Sus scrofa: one gene and its partner. The protein of the gene in region 2 purifies or fractionates together with the protein of the main gene of each other region. This does not show direct contact. Links are inferred from orthologs where the notes say so. Each region holds a gene or a part of one and is shown on either strand. Other genes may lie near its edges.

Evidence for each region.
Region 1: the proteins of ING3 (region 2) and ACTL6A purify together in Homo sapiens (affinity purification with western blotting; 3 studies listed by BioGRID and IntAct, with this or other methods). This does not show direct contact. The link is inferred for Sus scrofa from reciprocal best matches to the Homo sapiens genes ING3 and ACTL6A.

Annotation. Positions count from the first base shown.
Region 1 is NC_010455.5:117,597,478-117,601,225, reverse strand, and holds the start of ACTL6A (actin-like protein 6A), read right to left. Parts: upstream 2,812-3,748; 5' UTR 2,614-2,811; coding exon 2,589-2,613; intron 1-2,588.
Region 2 is NC_010460.4:25,974,132-25,977,879, reverse strand, and holds the start of ING3 (inhibitor of growth protein 3), read left to right. Parts: upstream 1-1,380; 5' UTR 1,381-1,515; coding exon 1,516-1,543; intron 1,544-1,796; coding exon 1,797-1,868; intron 1,869-3,748. UniProt on the Homo sapiens protein: Component of the NuA4 histone acetyltransferase (HAT) complex which is involved in transcriptional activation of select genes principally by acetylation of nucleosomal histones H4 and H2A.

The DNA.
Region 1 (3,748 bases), on a different chromosome or scaffold from region 2:
GAGGGGAGCCCAAGAGTGATAAAATTTATCAAAGATGGGCTGGTAGTATACCTATTTATTTTTGGCACACAAAGGAGTATGAAGCAAAAGAGTACCATAAAAGGTGATCACAGGAGCAATGAGGAGGCCCAAAAACGAATTACAGAAAGTATGGCAATCCAGATGAATTATGTATTATACCTAAAGCTAAAGATTAAGTGCCAGTCCTGATTGGAAATAACTACTGGAATAAGACAGCTACAAAACTTAAAACAAACTACAAATATCTTTTTAATAAGCAAGCTAAGTTAAAAAATACAGTTTACTGGAGTTCTTGTTGTGGTTCAGCAGGTTAAGATCCAGACTACTATCCATGAGGATGTGGGTTCAATCCCTGGCCTTGCTCAGTGGGTTAAGATTCGGCATTGCTGCAAGCTGCAAAGCAGGTCACGGATGTGGCTCAGATCTGACATTGCTGTGGCTGTAGAGCAGGCTGGCAGCTGCAGCTTAGATTCATCCCCTAGGGAACTTCCATATATCATAGATGTGGCCCTAGAAAGAACAAAAAAAAAAAAAAAAATACACTTTATTAAGTTAATTACATAAAACTTGGGTGGGAGGTTTGGTTGCCTTTCAGAGTAAACCCTTTGGAAAATGTGACTGACTATAAATACTCCCATACAGTAGCAGCTCAAACACAAAACCATGCACTTTTGTGAGTTTTAAATACTTTATAACCATGCATTTTTGTGAGTTTTAAATACTTTATATATGAAGTAGACTTTAAGATATATTCCTCTACATAAGCAAATGAGACATAGGATATTTATTGTGAATATCTAAATCATATATGAATATGCTGTGGTTATATACTTGAAGAACGGCTTATGGAGAAACAACCAAAAACCTTTTTTTTTTTTTTTTTTAAGTGGGAAAGGGTTTTACTGAAATGCCTTTTCTTTATCCCAGAGGTTCCTATTTCCCATTTACTAGAAAGTTAGGTAACTCTAGGCTAGCTACTTAATCTTTTCTAAACCTCATTTTCCTCTTTAATAATACAGGGATAAGCAGTACCATCCCCCACGGTTGTTGTTGATTAAGTTCATGCATGTGTTAAATGCAACAGCAAGCCTCTGGAACAGTTCTTGGTACACAGCATGCACTCAATAAATGTTAACGTTCGCATTATTGGTATCTATTTCTACCTTAATCACATTAAACAATGCCTTGTAAGGAATTACTCAGTGGGTAGCCTTTAGGTCCTTGGATCAGTGAACCTGAAAGTCAATACAGTCAGTAGCCTTCATGAGGCAAAGGCACATAGATCCAGTTTTTCTGTCAGGACTGCATCTTCAGATGGGAGAGAAGTAAATCATGAAGATCCACTAGGCTTTCTTCAAAGTAAAAATGGGAAACTACTAACTCTCACATTTGAGAAATTAAAACTAAGAACATATACAGGGAAGGAGGGGGTGAGGGTCAGTGTGTCACCTGAGACTCAAGCTTCATTTCAAAACTACTAAGAACTTTAAAAACCTTATTTTCATATCCTACCTATAAAACCTCTTCAGAAACAATATCCTTACTAAACACAACAACAAGACCAACATTTTGGGTTAGGAAATCATATAACTCAGTGCTTCACCTAGGTATCTTGCAAAAAAACGGAGGCTCTAATTCAGTATTTTCTAAAGAGCTTACAAGTGAAGCTGATGCTATTGATCTTTGGCTCATACTTTGAGTAGCAAGTGTAGCATTACCCCCCCTTAACCTTCACAATCATCCCAATGGGTAGGAATTTTCATTCCACAAACGAATCGTCTGAAGTTGGGAAAAGTTAAACAACTTGCCCAAGGCAAAGAGTTTAATAAAAAGTGAGGCTGATATTACAACCCAGGTGGATGTAAGCCCCAGCCCGCGGAAATCTTTCACTATACCGCGCACCCCACTCATTCTTAAATTACCCATATCTCTATACTAACCCTGAGCAGACCCGCCCACGAATAACTCTGGAGAATCCACAGTCAACATATATGCAGGAGTTATTGAAAGGTGAGGCAGCATGAGTGCGGAGCGCGGACGGAGAGGAGGCTGCGTCCGGAGTGGCCGCCACTCCTCCAATCAGTTCCAACCCTCGCGGCTCGCTTTGCCATCTCCCCGACGCCGCGAAAACCCGCGGTCCACACTAGCTAACTGCCGGGACCTCCCAAGTTTAAACACGCAAGCACGCACACCCCAACAGAGCCGACTGCCTGAGAAGAGCCCCTGAGCCGGCCAATCCAGTCGCGGCTCGCCGGGCCGGGCCCCCGAGGGGAGCTGTCCGCCCAGCCCCGGGGCGGCGTGCACCCCCAAAAACCGGTTCCCCGGCGGGCGGAAACTGGAAGAGGCCCCAGGGGGCGGCGACTCCGGGCGCCCGGGGCGATCGTGGAGCCGGGTGGGCTCCGGGGGCGGGCAAAGCGCGGGGCGGGGATGGGGCGGGGAGGCCGGGGTCCCGAGAGGGGGAGACCGGAAGGGCCGCCGGGGAGGGGAGGGGAGGGGAGGGCTGGGGGCGGCGGTTACGAACCCCACACGCTAAAAAGGCGCGCTCTCGAGCAGCCGCACTCACTCACCTCCCCCGTACACCCCGCCGCTCATGGCTGCTGTTGACGCGACTCCTACGCTAAAGGACACCAGGCGAAGCGACCGCAACCGCCGCGACTACAGATCCGGAGACGCTCTAGCCCCCGACCCTCTTAACTTCCACCGCCACCCCCCTCAGGCAACAAAGCGGCGTCCACACACCCCGGAGCGCAGTCACACTTGCTGGCTCCCCTTAGCAGCCAATCACAAGAGGCCCGGCTATATTTCAACCAATAAGAACGAGGCTCTGCCGCGCTCCCCGTCGCGGCACAGCCAGTTTAGCCAATTGAAAACAGCCATGGGGGCGGGGAGAATGGAAAGCGACGGAAGGAGAGGAGTTGAGTTGCGGAACTGGGGGGGGCGGAGCTTCCCGAAAGGGCCCGAGAGTGGGGCGGAGGGAGCGGGAGAGGGAGGAGGCAGGCTGTCGGCAAGAGTATGGGGCCGGACCAGGGGGTGAGGCTGCGCGTGGAGGAGCGGTGGGAATCCGGCAAATCCAGATAAACCTCTAGAAGGGGGTCTGGAATCCTCTCCATGCGATAGTTCCGACGGCTTTGGATATTGGTGAATGAAGAATTTTTTTAAAGCTATTTTCAACGAATTTATGTTGAAAATATTAACGTGCCATGCGCCAGTTTGGGGTAGGGAGAATCTGTAAATCGGACAAACCGATAGGACCGTGAAGTTTTTTAAATGGTTATGAATAGTTGAAAGAAGGGAATGATACAGTATCCCGCTAAATTTAGGTAGCACTTTACAAGTTGTTTTTCAAAGTGTCATAAATTTCTTTTATCCTCTGAGCCAGGTGTAAAGCAATATAGTCAATCCTCCTCCAAGCGATCACCTAATCCTAAATACATCTCCAACCTGTCTATTTCTACTGGTACAGATCACCGTTGTCGCTCCTCTGGATTACTACAATAACTTGTCGCCTTGCCCTTTTAGCCATTTTGCAGGCGGCTTGATTTATGAAAATACCCAAAGCATGGTCATGTCGCTCCAGCTAAAATTCTTAAGATCAGTTGTATGTCTTCATGGTTCTTGGTCTGCCTAGAGTCTAGACATATAGGTACCTCTTATCTTAAGAACAGTTGAATAAAGCCGCATCAGTCTCAGTGCCAGCAGCAAGGCTGAAAGTGATAGTAGGGTGGGG
Region 2 (3,748 bases):
TTCCTAAGTTTTTTGAAGGAAAGAAAGAAGAAGGGAGGGAGAGGAGTTAGGGAAGGAGGAAAGGAGGAAATAAAGGAATTCATACCTAGATTCATTACTGCAAAACTGCAAAAATATCAAAGAAATCTCAAAAGCAGCCAGAAGAAAGAAGGGAGGGAGGAAGGGTGGAAGGAAGACTGAATGCGGTAGATTTTAGGTCAAAGTACAGAAAATAAACTAGGTAACTCTTATTAGGATTGAGGTAAGTTTCCTTTGAGATTCGTCAATATGACAGCTAAGTATCTTGATGAACAGCTATGAAAAGTTTTAAGTATAAGAAAATGTAGAGGAGAGAGAAAAAGCAGAAAACAAAGTGTTTCAACTCCAATCTAAAAAATATAAAGAGAACATTAAATTATGAACTAAAGACACATTTTCCTGGGGGTGGAGGATTAAAATAGATGGAAAATAACAATACCCAATATCTACTGAGTGCAAACGTTTTTAAAAAAAAGGAAACAAACTGAGCAGTGAAGGGCTAAATATATCACAGCTGAACAGACGCGGGGAGGAGTCGAAGATAGAAAAAGACAACGCCCTGGACTACAGACGTCAAATACAGGCTATTTACTCAACGTAATTATTGTTAAGTTATTGCTAAGACAGACAATTAGATGGTAAGGCTCCACCCGTTATTTCTGTTTGCTCACTTATTAATGTTTCGGGTGCAGGTATAGCTATATAGATCAATTACATTAGAACGACTAGATGGACTGCAAAATAGAATGCAGTGGCTACTGAGAACCATTTGTGCATCTTTTAATATGGTAAATACATAATTCACTCAATATTCTGAGTGTAAACTGTTTTAGTTCTATGTCAGCCAACCAGATGTCCCATTTATATTTTTAGGAGCGGATACGGAGGATAAATTCCAACAGTGAGTTCTGTTTTGAACACTTCCAATTGCCCGAACTTTGCCGATTATTCTAGCGTTAGAACCCTTGCCGTTTGCCTCACACTACTTGAAATCCATGACTCATAAACGCCAGGACATGGAATTGCGGCAGTAAAGAACAGGTGAAAAGTTGTTCCTAGTTGTGTTCTGTAGGCGCATACAACTCCCATCACTACCCGTGCAAAAATCAACAAATAAACAGAGGCACCGCATTTCAGATTCTGCTGCGCACCGTTCGCAATGGCACCTGGTTTTTGTAGTTTGCAAGGGGAGGACTACCAGCGTGTTCTTTCTTGCTGGGGAGGGACGAAAACTACACTTCCCACAAAGGCGCGGGGGCGTGCTCCGCTCGGCTTACGTCACCTCTTCAGCCAGCCAATGACCACTCCGGGCGGCAGTGAGGCAGGCGCCGTCAGGCGCCAAAGTGGGTTTTTTTTTTTCTTTTTTTTTTTTTTCCGCCGAAGCCGAGCGGGTGCTGCTAGCGGAGGCGCCATATTGGAAGGGACAAAACTCCGGCGACAGCGAGTGACACAAATAAACCCCTGGACCCCCTCGCTCCCCCAGCTCTAAGGGCCGCGATGTTGTACCTAGAGGACTATCTAGAAAGTGAGTGGGCGGCGCCGGCGGGCCCGACTGGGGGACCTGAGGGCGGGCGAGAGCAGGAGTGGACGGGCTGGCGGGCTGGCGGGAGGGAGGGGGAGGCGGGGGATGTTTCTTTCTCACGGTAACTGGCAGCCTCGTTGTGGGCTGCCGGCTCCCTCGCGCCCCCCCCACGCACGCACGCACGCACGCACGCAGCGACGTCGGCGCGTACTTTCGCCGTTGGCCCCGCCCTTCTGACTGACTTTCCCATTGACAGTGATTGAGCAGCTGCCAATGGACCTGAGGGACCGCTTCACGGAGATGCGCGAGATGGATCTGCAGGTGCAGAGTAAGTCGGCGCGTTTGCCCTTGTTCGCTGCGCGCGTTCAGTGCCAGACTTACTTGCCATCGACGCCAGCACCTCTGCTGTTTGACTCTCCTCCGGCTCCCTCGCTAGTACATCATAAGGAGTTGTCAAAAAGAACCGGCAATGCCGAATCTTGGCTCTTCTGTTTCCCACGCTACTTTTCTTCTGGCTTTTACAAAAGAAGGTGGCATCAGAGCACATGTGCACCTTTTTTTTTTTTTCGAATTTGAGACTGTACAATAAAAGTTTCTGTACCTTCATTAAGAATGTAGACATATGTTTTAGTGAACGTTGGCATCAATGTTGCGAAGACTTTGACTTGAGACTTCACGTATAGAACATAGCGGCATTTATGTATTTGTTAAAATTCATTCTAGTCAAAATTCAAGAGAGGAAATGCATATGGAAGCACAGGTTATATGTAGTTCTTTAGAGACCCTGGTGAACTTAGAATGTCCAATTTGAAAAGTTACACATTATAGGATACATTCTCAATTGTCAACAGCATGATAGTTTCTCAATCAAACATGAGAAAGGAAATTGGATTTTACTGTAAAGCTGCTTGTCTACTGTAACAAAAACTTTGGCTTTTGGTCTTTCAGTTATACTTTGTTAATCCGAAGACTTTTTCCCAAAAATAACTTGGCCCTTTCATAGAGCAGTATTTAGTTTATAGGATCATTTTTTTTCTGTGAAGTTTCTTTTAAAGAGTTTACGATTCAGAGAAGATAAAGAATAAATACCTTTATAAAGAATAAAAAGATAAGTACAGGAAAATTACACTTCAAAACAAGAAAACAGTGTTGAGTGCCAAGTGTACACTCATCATGCTCTGAAAGAACCTCACACACCTTTCCCCTTTGTGAAACGAATATAGCTGTTACCACTGTCTTGTAGAAATCCTATATTAAAAATTAAGAATGTGAATAATGTGATCCATAATTAAAATGTTTAATCAAGTGTACTTTGTTGGCTGTCTGTCACTCTTGTTTGGAGAAACGTAAGTACTGTTTAATTGCTTAAATAATATTAATGGCTGGCCTTCATAGGGTATATCTGCAGAGATAATGCCATTAGTTATGCTGTAGGCCACAGGGGAAGTCTAATAGGGTATATCAACAGAAGATGTTTCCTGATCACATGTATCCCATGTTTAGACTATGCATAGGATATTTCTTGTGCTGACAGATTTTCTTCTCAGAGAAGTAAGGCTGGGGGGAACATCTGGGTTTGGGGATGTGATAAGGAGGAAAAGAGTATCATGGAAAGAGATCAGAGAATAGAACCTTTCAGAGTGTGGTAGTCTTGAGGTAGCCCCCATCCCCCACCTCCCGCCTCCCTTCTCTGCCCCACCAGCACCACACATACTTCCATACCCATTGTTCACAAATATTCTTTTCTCAGCCTCCTGCCAGTTTCGTGTGGTGCATGAAACAAGGTAATATGTCTTGGAAGCCACCTTCTGTTCAGTGGATTGTAGTGTGGAAATCTGAGTTGTGTGTTTCTCCAGCTTGCTCACAAAATTCATTTTAACTTTAATGTATTTGAAATGCTAAAGATTTGCTAGAGAAGTGTTTTGTATAGGCTTGAGCATGGATTTTGTTGTCCAGCAAATCTGAGTTTATTTTAGAGCTTTAGAAACTTACTCATTGACCTTGACCACATTGCCACTTCTCCGGGATTTATTGTCTGTAAAATGAGAATCATCATGAAGATTAAAAATAATAGAGATAAATTAGAGCATATAGTACCTGATACAAAGTGAGCATTCAATAAAAGGTAGCTATTATACTTTTTCATGATTACAAATTTTTAAGTTCTTTAGTAATCTGGACTTGAATATGTAAGTTAGAGTTTTTTTT